4 linked regions of the Danio rerio genome follow. The protein of the gene in region 2 interacts with the protein of the main gene of each other region in a biochemical or structural test. Links are inferred from orthologs where the notes say so. Each region holds a gene or a part of one and is shown on either strand. Other genes may lie near its edges.

Region 1 (4,454 bases), on a different chromosome or scaffold from region 2:
AATGAGTTGCGCCTCAGAAGATGAAGACGAAATGCAATGAACACAGTCAATGCGGTGGCTTTTGGAGGCATGAGACGCTTATTGGGAGCTCAGACAGATGCTCAAGACAGTTCTAAAGGAAATAATAACAGAAAAAGAAGAATACCAAAGCACTGTGATGACTGCGGCATTTTACAATCAGCAAAACAACATTTCAGATGCTTTACAACAGGGGTGTCAAACTCAATTCCTGGAGGGCCACAACCTTGCACAGTTTAGTTCCAACCCTGCTCCAACACACTTACCCGTAGGTTTCAAACAAGCCTGAAGGACTCAATTAGTTTGATCAGGTGTGTTTAATCAGTGTTGGAACTAAACTGTGCAGAGCTGCGGCCCTCCAGGAATTGAGTTTGACATTCCGGCTGTACAATGTGCTCAAAATGCTGCTGTGCCCATTAATGCATCCCATCACACACATCTTCATCAACTGTTCAAACTAAATCACATCACTTTACTGATGCCAATGCTGGAATTTAATTTGTAAATGTGTTTGCATCATAGTTTATGCACATTTTTACTTATTTCTTAAGTTGTTTATGCAGATTTGTAAATCTATGCACATCTTGGCATTTCCAAAATACAAAATGCACGTAAAAAAAAAAAAAAAATATATATATATATATATATATATATATACATATATATATATATATATATATATATATATATATATATATATATATACATATATATATATATATATACATATACATATATATATATATATATATATATATATATATATATATATATATATATATATATATATATATATATATATATATATATATATATACATATATATATATATATACATATATATATATATATATATATATATACATATATATATATATATATATATATATATATATATACATATATATATATATACATATATATATATACATACTTATCCAGCATATGTTTTACGCAGCGGATGCCCTTCCAGCTGCAACCCATCTCTGAGACTCATCCATTCACACTCATACACTATGGACAATTAAGCTTACCCAATTCCCCTATAGCGCATGTGTTTGGTCTGGGTGAAACCAGAGCACCCGGAGGAAATCCACACAAACACGGGAAGAACATGCAAACTCCACACAGAAATGCCAACTGACCCAGCCGAGGTTCAAACCAGCAACCTTGTTGCTGTGAGGTGAACGGTCTACCCACTGCGCCACCATGCTGCCCTAGACTATTTTTATTTTATTATATCTTATAAGTTTCTATAGTTTAAAAGCAAAAATATCAAAATGTACAGCCCTAAATGACTTTCTAAACAGTTTGTGCTCATTTAAGACATAATTAGACAAGATAAACACATCAAGACAGGCATTTTGACAGACTTTTAACCAAACCACAAAATGTCCATTTCACTCCTCACAAATGTTTGCACATTCATTTATTTCAAAGGTCCCTATATTGTTTATAGAGGTAAAGCTGGTTTTATATTCGGATATTCAGACGTTCTCCTTAATATAATTTCAGAAAAGTCTTCTTTGCAAATTGTAAATAGGGAAATCATATTAGCAGCAAATGACTATCAAAGTACAGCATTGTTCACAGTGAATCAGATAGTGTTAATGTTGTTTTGAAGTCATGCTTGCATGCTAATTCCGAATATTCAAAGTAACATGGTAAACAATATAGAGACTGTTAAAACGAACGAATGTGCGAACATAAAACCAACTTTATCTCTACATATTGTTGACCATGCGACACCAAATATTCGTTCTGAAATAGCATGCAAGTATGACTTCAAAACAACATAAGCACATTTTAACTGACCGTGAACAATGGTGTACTTTGACAGTCATTGGCTGCTTGTACGATTTCCCCATGCAGAAATTGCACCCTTTTCTGAAATTATATTATTTGGGAGAAGTCTGAATGTGCGAATATACTTAACCTCAATCTTCTGGTATCACCCATGATGCTGGTATGGGAAATATGTGACTCAGACTGATTTGTTGTTATGTAATCTTGAATATAATCATTACTGACTGTTCACTATTATCCAAAGCATCATTCTGGAGTCTGTGACTGCTACAAACACAGTTCACAGTCACTGGGATAAAGTTGTGTGACAGCAAATTGACATTTAAAAGAAACACAAATATGCATAAGACAAATGAAGTTGACATACCTCAAGAAACTTATGTCACCTTCTTCTGTCTTAAGTCGAATAACTGCAGAATATACCAGCTAACCATGCCCAGCAGATGAAAACACAGTCAAGTACACGTCAATAGCTAAATAATAGCTGATAACATAGAGATTTTCCTTTTCTCTGATGCCCATAAAGACAGAATACACGAGAGCTGGCCACTGTACTGCTGTCTGTAGTGTTTAAGGTTTGTGAATCAGTGGCAGGTGAGCTGCTAACCGGCTAGCCGCTAGCAACTCTTCTACAAACAAACCTAACCGCTAAACCGGTTAACCAAAGCCAAACCCTTGACATTAAACACACAATATCGTGGTCTCAATGTTTTATTCACACAAGTCATCAGCTTGAGTGAATTTATTAGGCTTGTCGCTGGCTAGCAGATGACTTAGCCGGATGCTACGTTTTGAACTCAAAGTCAAACAGTCAGCTAACTCGTTAGCTGGCTAACAACAACATCAACATCGGTCGTCATAATAACCAGCAGCTACATTACTATCACAGCATGATCGACACGATTCGTTCAGATGGACAGGTAGAGGTGAATCGACTCACCTGTTCAAGCGGCGGGTCAGACGAACTGCTCGTATCCACACAGATGTTAGTGAACCCGGCCAGGAAGGGTTCAGAGATTTACACGAGCGCTGAAATGAAATATTATATTCCCCAAAGTATGTCTCGGTCCTGCTGGAAATCCCGTGTGTCTGTATGTCTCCTTATGTGTGTGTGTCGTTCCTGAGTGACTGCTCGCCGGGGTTCAGCCGCCCGGATTCTGCGCTGGGCGGGGTCACAGACTGACACGAGCGCTCATTAATTATTCACAACACAAACAATCAGCATGGGAGGAGCTTCGACTTCACAACATTACTTATGCGTGAGTGTAGGAATCTAAGGAAAGTGTACGTCAAGCCTGTTGCTGTACAGGTTAAGTATAAATTATATTAAATATTTAATGAAATACTAAATTATATAAGAAATTAAAAGGGTAACAATAGAAATATGTGATAAATTCTATAGGCTAAATGAAATGTTCGCAGTTAATAAGAGGTTATAAACACTGCATAATCATTAAACAATAATCAAAATAGCATACAGTATTAACATTTGTAATTCATTGAATAATTGTATTATATTTGTTTCCCATACATGGGTTGCGGCTGGAAGGCCGCATAAATAAAGGGATTAAGCCGACAAGAAAATGAATTAATTAATTGCTGTCGCCTCACAGCAAGAAGGTCGCTGGTTTAAGCCTTAGCTGGGTCAGTTGGCGTTTCTGTGTGGAGTTTGCATGTTTTCTCCGTGTTGGCGTGGGTTTCCTCCGGGTGCTCCGGTTTCCCCCACAAGTCCAAAGATGTGGAGAATTGCAAAATTCTAAAAGGGACTAAGCCGAAAAGAAAATGAATGAATGAATGAACAATGGAAATATTGGATAAATTCTACCTATAGGCAAAATGAAAGACTCACAAATAATAAGAGGTTGTAAACACTGCATAATCATTAAACAACACTTAAAATAATATACAATATTAACATTTTTAATTTATTGAATAATTGTATTATATTTGATTATTATGATATCAGATTATCTATAATTTTTCCCAGTACTGGGTAAGTAAATTTTCCCAGTCTGGAAGAGCAAGGAAATGAATGAATACTTAAATGAATGGAAAATCTGTTAGCATAATGTACATATTGCGAACATGACACAACATAAATATAGGTTCAAGTGTATTTTATTATTGTGATTATAGTTATTATTAATAGTATGATTATTTCTCCTGTGTTGTTGTGGGTTTTAGGAAGGGTTTGAGGTGTGTTTTTTGATGCTGTTTATTCATTCATTCATTCATTCATTTTCTTTTTGGCTTAGTCCCTTTATTAATCAGGGGAATTAATAGCCAACTTATCTAGCATATGTTTTATACAGCGGATGCCCTTCCAGCTGCAACCCAACACTGGAAACATCCATACACACTTATTCACACTCATGAACGACCAATTTAGTTCATCAGTTCCCCTATAGCGCATGTGTTTGGACTGTGGGGGAAACCGGAGCACCCGGAGGAAACCCACACCAACATGGGGAGAACATGCAAACTCCACACAGAAACGCCAACTGACCCAGCTGGGGCTCAAACCAGCAACCTTCTTACTGTGAGGTGATCGTGTTACCCACTGCGCCACCATGACACCCCTGAAGCTGTTTAATTTTTTTAAATACTTTTAATATAATACTTTCCACTAA
Region 2 (3,740 bases):
CTGGCGTAACTTACTTTGTTTCAGACCCTTTTGCTGCAGTATTTGGCAATGAGACTTTTGGCGGAGGTTTTGCAGACTTCAGCAGCTTAGCAAAGGTAAGGATCTTGAACGTAAAACAGAAGTCCAGTATTTCAGCTGAGTTGCCAACCATATGATTTAAATGGACCCGACTGCAGCCACTGAACTTTTTATTTTGCCTTTCAGTCTAATGGCAATGATCCATTTGACTCCAGTACAAACAAGAATTTATTCAAGGAGGACACCCAGTCAGATGTACCGCCAGCATTACCACCCAAAACAGGAACCCCAACCAGACCTCCACCTCCACCCCCAGGTAAAATGGATTTTATCTATTGATGCACTGACCTTTATTTCATGGCTGATTCGGGTTGACCATTTCTTTCTTTTTTATCTTTTTTTTCTTTTGCAAACAAATTTTCTGATGCAAATTATTACATTATTCATTTTTATTACATTTTTTTTCCTCCAAATCCTCATTTTATTCCTTATATATAATATATATATATATTAGTTTTTTTGTAAATATATTTGTTTACTTTCAATTTATTGCATTGCAAGTAAAATTATACTATTTTACTTTAGCTTTGTGAAATGATTTTACTTAAAAACATAAATGTATAAGGAACAGTAGAAATGCATAATAACAGTAAATTCATTCTGCCTGTTGGTGGAATAGGTATTGCCCATAGTACATTAAAAATAGATGTTTACTATAGCCTTTTTAGAGGTATTTACAAATGAAAATAATAAACATCCTTATCATTGTTTTCAACATATCAAGCCTCAAATAATCACCTAAATATGAGTTGTGATAGAAACCGTCCAAACACGTCATATTAGTACAGCATTTAATTAAATGTTAAAAACATCACACAGTCATTTAAGTATTGCAGTATCAAGTATTGCAAAGAAAATATTTGTTCAGTTTGTTAATGTTAATGTGCTTGGCTTGTAACATTAAAATCATTGCAGTGCCGATTTTATGCAAGTCATAACAGAGACTGGCTTATTTAAAGCGCAAATCAGCAGGTTGTCGATCAAAAGTTTCTAAAAAAAACTAAAAACAAATACAAAAAAAACCCAATTCCTTCATTTGATTTTTTGCCAGTTGATTGGTGCATGTCTAATCTGAACAAACCAGATTCCAGATTGACTTAATTGCTCAGTTCAGAAAATAATGGACCACAAGGCTCCATAACGTCACCTGTATTTGAGTGCTGTGTTGTCTCTATGTGTATGTGTTAAAGGTAAGCGGTCCAACATCCACCGATCGGAGTCGTCCGAGTCATTTCACCGCCGCGGTCTGTTCAAGGCCCAGGGATCAGCAGAGTTCTCCTCCCTTCCCGCTAAAGACTCGGTACCAGACCCCTTCGCCCCTTCCTCACCCCACCAAGCCCCGTGCGACCCCAACCGATTCGCCAGCTTTGACAAAGTGAGCTCCTCCCCCTCTCCCTCTCCTGACCCCCAGTAGTGACCCTGACATTTCACCTGCGCAATGCAGCAGCCTTGACCTCTCGACCCCTCATAGCCCGTTTGTTTTCCCGGAAGGCTCCTCGTCCAATATTTTGACGACTCTTGCTTTATGTGAAAGCCACAAAACTGTCACTGTTCCTGTTTTTTATTTTATTTTTTGTAAATACATATGAGCTTGTAATGAAAATATTTATCCAATAGCGAAACTGAATCAAGGCTAACGCTTCTACTAAAACAAAACCCCAGTGTTATTTAAACCTACTATTGTTATGACTTCGCAGTATTCCTAACATCACGCATATAAGTTCTCACTGGCTGTGGAAGGAGAGGTGGGGCTGCTTGCTATTGGCTGTTTTCAATTCATCCCCCTGTGCTCTTTTGTCATGTTCTCCACCATTGGTTGAGGCTTGCACGTTTATTGCCCTGTCGTACTTTTATTCACTGATTTGCCTTGCCTTGCACTGCACGAACTAATCACTGTGTCCACTTGTTCTGTTGGGCTGCTACTTCCCACACATTGGTTCTTGGTTCCATCTGCATCCCATCATTCATGCACCACCTTTTTTTATTTTTAGAAGACATACAGTATGTTTTGTTTTTATATATGCCAAATTCAATAATCAGCTAAGCTTATAACAGCACTTGTTGGCTCCTTTCTGTATTATTATTATTATTTTTTAAATTAAAACTTATCCATGTGAGCTCTCTTTATACGTTGATGCATCCAATAAATTAAGCCTTATGAAGGCGCAACTCTTTGCTAATGAAGAGACTTCAAGAGAGAGATGACTTCTTTTTGTTTTCATGATTTGTGTTGAAGTGCTTTCCAGCTAACTGTAGTGATTACTCTCTCGATCCATTGTTGTCTACACCTTTACTTCTGTGTGAAATACCTGCATGTTCATGATGGGCCGTATGAGCAATCCAGGCCTAGACATATGAGTGCATCAGACGAATAAAACATCAGACTAAAACATCAGCAATGAAATGAGTAATCATTAAGCATATTTCTTAAATTGGTGTTAAATTACTTTTTATTTTACGTCAAGTCTCATGTGTCTGCAGGCTTATGAGCTGATGTTAGCTGTGAAGCTCTATGGATTGCATCATGGCACACATCTTGTATCTCTCATCCTTCTGTGTCAGTAGCTGTAGCACATTAGTAATTTTTCCTTTTATGTTTCTAAATGTAACAGTTCTTGCATGTTGATCTTTGTGGGATTTTTTGTATGTCATCATTATACTTGAGACAGGTTTTTTTGAACGCTCAGTTCTACAGTAGATAATTCTCTTTTAAGTTATATTTTTTCGGTAGTCTACAGAACAAACCACCGGTATACAGTAACTTGCCTAATTACACTAACCTGCCTATTAAAACTAATTAAGCCTTTAAATGTCACTTTAAGCTGTATAGAAGTGTCTTGAAAAATATCTAGTAAAGTATTATTTACTGTCATCATGACAAAGATAAAATAAATCAGTTATTAGGGTTGTTATTACTTCAATTTCAACTGGATTTTATATACATATACAGTTGAAGTTAGAATTATTAGCCCCCCTGTTTATTTTTCCCCCAATTTCTGTTTAACGGAGGGAAGATTTTTTTCAACACAGTTCTATCATAATAGTTTTAATAATTCATTTCTAATAACTGATTTATTTTATCTTTGCCCTGATGACAGTAAATAATATTTGACTAGATACTCTTCAAGAAATTTCTATACAACTCAAAGTGACATTTAAAAGCTTAACTAGGTTAATTAGGTTTACTAGGCAGCTTAGGGTAATTAGGCAAGTTATTATATGATGATGATTTGTTCTGTAGACTATCGAAACAAAATATATCTTAAAGGCGCTAATAATTTTTACCTTAAAAATGGTTTTCAAAATATTTAAATATGCTTTTATTCTAGCCAAAATAAAACAAATAAGACTTTCTCAAGAAGAAAAAATATTATCAGACATACCGTGAAAATTTCTATCCTCTGTTAAACATCATTTGGGAAATATTTTCAAAAGAAAAAAAAAGTCAAAGGGGGGCTAATAATTCTGACTTTAACTGTATATACATACACACACATGTATGTATGTATGTATATATGGTTATATATTCCCTTTAAAATGCACTTTAAGATGAATACAAGCATAAAATAGCTAGAAAAATACTAAGTTATGCCATCAAAGCAAAGACAAAAGTTAGTTATTAAAAGTTAGTTATTAAATGGTTTTGTATTTAAAAGGTTAGA
Region 3 (3,740 bases), about 3.6 Mb from region 2:
TTGACAGAGGTGTCATTTCGAATTGAATGTAACCTTTTGATACTTTGTTTAAATTAGGAGCTACAAAAAAGCCAATTAGAACTAAATGATTAATTTAAACGTTGTAATAAATCAGACTTTTAAAATGTAAATACTGTCACTTGGCAGATGCACAAGACATCGGCGAGCGAATCAAGGCAAAGGCAGGAGCAGCTCGACTAGTGTATTCAGCTCTAAACTCCATTGTGTTATAAATATGATTGTGGATGTTTTTACTATAATAAGTTCATTATAAAACGTTAAAAATTAATCCACGTCATGTTTTATTACGTTTAAAGCAACGTCTTCTAGTTATTTTTAAAAAATATGCAAATTTAATTTAATACAGTTTGATATCTTTAACTTTGGCCCACAGCTCTCAATCAAGTTTGATTTTTGGCCCTTTATAAGACGAAGTTTGGGCACCTTACAAACTTTGCTCTCTTACTGGCTGTAGGTCATCGCTGATGTTATTTTCAGTCAGAACACATTTCACACGGCATGATTTGAGTCGTTGACAGCACCAGATATTTTGGATGCCAAATAGCTGACAGGCGTTGGCGACTCATCGGCAATTCTTTCAGATCGCGCCTTTGATAGTTCATACTGTGTGATTGTTACTCATGTGAACAGAGCACTGATTTGCCTGTGATTTCAGTCATTTGTCGACGATTTCTCAAAACCTGTCGGCGAGTCAAAATTGGGGCTAAAATCATGCAGTGTGAACTCGGAATTATTTGATTCTTAACCTGGCTTTTTGAGGATGTTTGAAGGCTGGAAATTCAACACCACAACAAATAGTTTTGTAAAAACAGATTTTCACTCACATACACATATACTGGTCTATAAGCTTTTTGAAAATATTTTTTTATCTGCCCTCCTTTTTACACAGTGTCAAAGGTATTACAGACACACAGAGGATGTTATTTTCGGGAAATGTGGTTTAGTAAAGCAGGATGTGAAACAGAGACTCTTACATTGTCTGATAATAAACAGTGATGGATACACAGCCCACTGCATCATTTCTATTTGTCTGATGAAGATGTCACTTATAGGCTCCCGATTAATTGACTTCATCATGAGCCATTTTAAAGCATATGACACTCTATAGGGTCTCTAAATACGATGTCTATTTCTACACTTGTTGTTTCTAGACTATTCATAACAGCTGTGTTTGTGTAAATGTTTACACTCGTGTCTATTTGTGTCTTAGCCAGTGTTTTCTAGTGTTCACCTGTCCCTCTTTGCATCTGTGTGTGAGTGCATGTGTGTGTCTTGATTTCCTCCTTAACACCGTTGCTCTCTACGTTGTGCTGCTGAGGAGAAGGAGGGAAACTTTTACTCCAGTGACTCGGATTTCGATGACGAAGAACCCAAGAAGTTTCACATCCAGATCCGCCCGGTCGCCAGCAGCAACCGCAGCAACTCAGCAGCCAATGAGCAGGAGCTGAAGGCCACAGTGGGGGCGTTGACTCTGCCCCCAAACAGAGTGGTAAGAGATTTAACAGCCCAAATCAAGAGTGATGCGAATCATTTATTCATTTTTACCGAAAATTGCTCAACATATCAGTGCTTAAGTTTACAAAATGTCTCATAAATAGAAGGGTACAGTATGTAACTGATTACAGTAAACCAAAAATAATTAAGATGCGAGAGTGTATAGGTGTTTCCCCTTACTGGGTTGCAGCCGGAAGGACATCCGCTGCGTAAAACATGTGGCGGAATAGTTGGCGGTTTATTCTGTTGTGGCAACACCTGATGAATAACAGACTGGGTTGAGGAAAAATGAATGAATATTGCACTCGTTGTTTGTGTAATATTGCTTATTATATTATATAATATAAATATGAAACAAAAACTGATATGGAACAAGTTGGTTAAGATTACATGTTGATTGAGATCACAGGACTTGTCGAATAATACTGTCATTGTCTCTGTAATCTCTCATTTTGGTTTCAGAATAAATGAATCATTTTACATATGCCAATTAATTTGTTTTCCACATAACAAGGCAAACAAACCACTCTAATGTGATTCTTTGGTTTCAGTTAGAGTGCACATGATGTTTCTGGCTCCTCTGTAAACAAAGACATGTTTACTAAGTTCTAGGCTCCTAAAATGAGCTCTTTTGAGGAAAAACAGATCACTGTGCTTGTCAGCGGTTGTGATCTTTACTTTGATAAGAACTTAAAATCTTGGTTGTGTTTTATGTCTATTTAATGCTGAAACCTTTAATTGAACAGCATTTTAAAACATAATTAAAGCAAAATGAAGTCATGGACCATTGTGATTTTATTTTATTTTATTTATTTATTTATTGTCACAAAATGTATGAATTTTATATTTACTTGATTATTTTTAATGTGTTTTAAAAGTTTTTTTTTATAATATTTTCTGCGTTTTTGTCATTCATTTACACAACTATTATTTATAGACATAAAAAGGATTTCAAGGGCAGGTTCTTAAAAATGACACTATTATTTTATTTATTGTAACCTTCAAAAGCAGAATTTATGAAAATAGTTATGTCACATGCATGCATATTACGTTCAGTCTATAATCACACACATGCACTTGACAACTAAAGCTTCAGTGGTGATGAATACTGTACTGTTTAATAGGCAATATACACAGCTGGTGTTTTTCCCATACCGATAAACTTCCAGTGAATAGTTAATGTGCCTTTTTTAAATTTAATACAGTTCCTTTTACAGCATAGATGTTGTAATATAATTAAATATATTATCAGTTAAATAGACCTTTTACATGCATACCCCGCCAGGATCAGCAGGATAGCACAGAAACTCAATTGAAAATATTGGGGTAAAATAAATGTTCATATTTTAAAGACATGGTGCGGAAAAATGTAATTTAATGCAGTGCTTCTTGCATATTCTAAGACCCACTTTACATAGCATATTAATCAGGCTGTAAAGATCTTTGATTTTTAAAGAAATAGACCTTAAACGTGGTGATTTTGTAACAGCATACATTTCACCAGTAGCGTTTGACCCAGGTTACTGAAAAATTAAAAGTCCTTCTGCGTATATCCTTTTTCAAAGTGACAACTACATGTCTGTCATATATAATAGAGCGCTTGTAGGTGTTTTTAGTTGTTTTGACAACATTGTCATCAATACAGTATTACTTCTTATTTTTAAAGTGTCACAGCAAATATGATGCATGGCTTTAACACAAACCTGTCATTGTTTGATTCATCTAATCCTGTAGGTGTCAGTAAAGAAGCAGCTCTCTCGTGAGTTCACTTTCATTCCTCTCTATGACCATATTCTGCATATATGTTAGTGGGGCTCTTTTTCATGCATATATTCTCCTGAAACAGGAAATTCGAGTTCAGCAGGTCGATCTGAAGGGGAAGGGGAAAGTGTTCCCCAGAGAGGTCAGTCACACGCCGCAGACGCTCATTTCTGCACTCCGACTGCTAGAGTTACACCATAAAGCATCAATTTTTCAGTACTCACGCATTGTTCCTGTGAGTAAGCCGTCTCCAATGGCCACTGTCTCCCACCTCCTCCTCTGTCCACATTAATAGATGTCAATATCCCACAACACACATCTCCGACTGACACCTTAATCACAGCAATCTGCCATCCAGCTGACCTGGGATCAGTATCCTAACTGCTCTGTCATTATTGCCTTAAATTGACAGACTGATCTCAGGTCCGCGGAATTGCTGTAATTACAGCCTCAGAATTGGTTCT
Region 4 (2,807 bases), on a different chromosome or scaffold from region 2:
AGTACAACCTCAAAAGAAAGGCTAAAGTAGCTTAGCACTACTACTAAAGTAGCTCGGAGGCAGAATTTTGATCATATACATAATTATTCAGATCTTATTTCAGTTTTAGGTGCTTTGATACAGTTGAATCTATTGTGGGTAATAATGTAGGGTTTAGCAAAGGATTGTTTGGACTGTAACCCCACCTCAGTTAAACAAATATGCTGTTTGCCTGTAATTGTTTTTTGCCATTTCCCCCCACACACAGCAGATCCAGAGAGAAGAGGTTCCTCAGTGACATGTGATGCAGGAGGAGGTGGCAGCACAGGCTCTCCTGTGCCCTTTGACCTTTCATCGATTGGTAGCTCTTTGCCTGTTCGGAAAACACCAGAGTCATTTTTGGGGCCCAACGCAGCACTGGTGGATTTGGACTCGCTAGTATCATCAAAACCCAAACCAAAACAACCACCCCCACCAAGCATCTCCTCCACATCTAACAACCCCTTCCTCCAGACACAGGGTGTGTTTTTAAAACAATTGAATAGAAATTGTGTTTGTTTGCTTTTCCCTCTAACATCTTTCTTTCCTCCATTAGGGCCTTCCTCAACAGGTATGGGAGTTACCCCAGGAAGTACCATTTCAAGTAGAGGAGTATCTCCGACCCCACCTTCTGCTTCTAATCCTTTTGGCGCGACCCCAATGGCATCAATCTCCCCTCAACCCTCTTCACTTGGTCTGAACCAGCTGCGTACAAGCCCCGTTCCCCCAAATCCCATGCTGGGTCACATGCCTCCGCCAGTAGTAGGAATGGTTCAGCCAGGAATGGGCATGCCAGGAATGGGGGTCCCTATGGCGGCCCCCGGTTTAAGCATGGGAATGGGCATGCCTTACGGTGGAATATCCCCTATGGGTCCAGGAGGAAACCCCTTGCTGATGGGTCCAGGAGGACCTGCGCAGCCTTCACTGATTTTGGGCGGGCCATCAGGAGTGGGCGGAGTAATGGGAACAGGGGGATCCATGGGAGGTGGAACCACAGGCACAAGCACCAATCCTTTCCTTCTTTGAGAGATTTCACCAATCCCACTGGCCCTGTGCACTCAACAACCAATCCGAACCTGCCCTACCAACACAAACAGTTTGTGTTCAACAAAAACAAATGTGTGTTCATCTCTATATTTAATGAAAAGTAAAAACAACAACGTGTTCTTTTCTGTCACAAACAGCATTTCAGTTTTGTTTTGTTCTTTTATTTCCCCCGTTTTATTTGACAGTATTTGAAGTCTATTTATTTCCCTATTGAGTTTTGGTTTCTTTGACAGACATGGATGATTGGTGGGTTCATTCAATGAATGCAGGCTGTTAATATTGTTATATTATTAAGATGATTGTTGTTGCTCAGAATCAGGAATATGAAGAAATGGGAGGAGGAAAACAAGCCACTAATGAACTTAATCACACACCCTGATTTCTCCCCCCCCTCCTTTCATTGATGATGGAAGAGCCGGTGGCCCTCTAAAGAAAGAGCGCATGAAGGATGTCTGACGGACTGGCCCTGAATGGATTCAGAAGGATTCGGCTGTCCGTTTTATTCACAACTCTAGTAAAAATCATTTGATAGATGTATTACTTTTAATTTAATTTAATGTGTAATCTTGTGTAATTTATTTTAATCGTATGTCTCTGACTCCTGGAAACGATTAAACCAAGGAAAATCGCACTGGAAATTGCCATTGAAACAGATGCCTGCTCGGTCTCTGGCCTGCAACATTTCAGTCCATACCGCATGGTTCATACACACATGAGGAGTGAGTGTGTTTATGTGAGAGAGTGTTTGACATGTCCAGTGTTTCACTTGGCCCACTGCTTTGCTTTTGATGGGGTAATCAGCATTGTCTTTATAAGAGTCCTAATTTTCAGCCACTTATTTTTGCAGTCGTGAAAAAAAAGAAAGAAAATCGAAGCATTAATTCAACACCTGTTCACTTGAGAAACAGCGCTTGTCTTTGCATTTCACTTCAGCACCTTTGTCCTTCTACATTCACACAGAAAACAGGAAAGTGTTAACGCTTTTGAAACTGAAAATTGTCTGAATGATTTTGTGAAATCAGATTATAAAAATGGGGACTGAATGATACGATCCATGCTGTTATCCTTTATTTACTTTCAAATTATTTTATATATATAAATATAAATATATATGAACATTTTAGAGATATTTCTCTAATATTGGCTATGGTCAAAAAGTGTGTGGTGTTGACTGTGAACATTCACATAAAAAAAATAAAATGGAGAAAAAAAATCAAAAGGAATTTAAGAAATAAAATAAAAATCCACAAAACAAAATTGTCCAAGCCTATTTTGTTGCATTGATTTGCTTTAAAATCATTAGTATTTCCTTTAATTGTTCTTTTAATTAATTGCTATGTGACAACATGTAATAAGCAATAGAATTCATTATTTCATAATACACAAATATATTGTCATAATACACTCACAGGCTACCTTATTAGGTACACCTGTCCAACTGCTCGTTAATGCAAATTTCAAATCAGCCAATTATATGGCAGCAAGCATTTAGGCATCAAGATGATCTGCTGCAGTTCAAACCGAGCATCAGAATGGAGAAGAAAGATGATTTAAGTGACTGAACGTGGCATGGTTGATTGAGCGCACAACCATCTCTAGGGTTTACAGCAGGGGTGTCAAACTCAATTGCTGGAGGGCCGAAGCCCTGCACAGTTTAGTTCCAACCCTGCTCCAACACACTTACCTGTAGGTTTCAAACAAGCCTGAAGGACTCAATTAGTTTGATCAGGTGTGTTTAATTA

The links.
Region 1: the proteins of eps15 (region 2) and numb form a complex in vitro, tested with the Homo sapiens proteins (2 studies listed by BioGRID and IntAct, with this or other methods). The link is inferred for Danio rerio from reciprocal best matches to the Homo sapiens genes EPS15 and NUMB.
Region 3: the proteins of eps15 (region 2) and fcho1 form a complex in vitro, tested with the Homo sapiens proteins (2 studies listed by BioGRID). The link is inferred for Danio rerio from reciprocal best matches to the Homo sapiens genes EPS15 and FCHO1.
Region 4: the proteins of eps15 (region 2) and epn1a form a complex in vitro, tested with the Homo sapiens proteins (4 studies listed by BioGRID and IntAct, with this or other methods). The link is inferred for Danio rerio from reciprocal best matches to the Homo sapiens genes EPS15 and EPN1.

Annotation. Positions count from the first base shown.
Region 1 is NC_133192.1:57,986,299-57,990,752, forward strand, and holds the start of numb (protein numb homolog), read right to left. Parts: upstream 2,999-4,454; 5' UTR 2,765-2,998; intron 1-2,764. UniProt on the Homo sapiens protein: Regulates clathrin-mediated receptor endocytosis. Plays a role in the process of neurogenesis.
Region 2 is NC_133183.1:18,301,441-18,305,180, reverse strand, and holds part of eps15 (epidermal growth factor receptor substrate 15), read left to right. Parts: intron 1-24; coding exon 25-95; intron 96-204; coding exon 205-334; intron 335-1,268; coding exon 1,269-1,453; intron 1,454-3,740. UniProt on the Homo sapiens protein: Involved in cell growth regulation. May be involved in the regulation of mitogenic signals and control of cell proliferation. Involved in the internalization of ligand-inducible receptors of the receptor tyrosine kinase (RTK) type, in particular EGFR.
Region 3 is NC_133183.1:21,921,117-21,924,856, forward strand, and holds part of fcho1 (f-BAR domain only protein 1), read left to right. Parts: intron 1-1,325; coding exon 1,326-1,510; intron 1,511-3,249; coding exon 3,250-3,274; intron 3,275-3,361; coding exon 3,362-3,418; intron 3,419-3,740. UniProt on the Homo sapiens protein: Functions in an early step of clathrin-mediated endocytosis. Has both a membrane binding/bending activity and the ability to recruit proteins essential to the formation of functional clathrin-coated pits.
Region 4 is NC_133191.1:13,119,224-13,122,030, forward strand, and holds the end of epn1a (epsin-1), read left to right. Parts: intron 1-247; coding exon 248-499; intron 500-574; coding exon 575-1,044; 3' UTR 1,045-2,113; downstream 2,114-2,807. UniProt on the Homo sapiens protein: Binds to membranes enriched in phosphatidylinositol 4,5-bisphosphate (PtdIns(4,5)P2). Modifies membrane curvature and facilitates the formation of clathrin-coated invaginations. Regulates receptor-mediated endocytosis.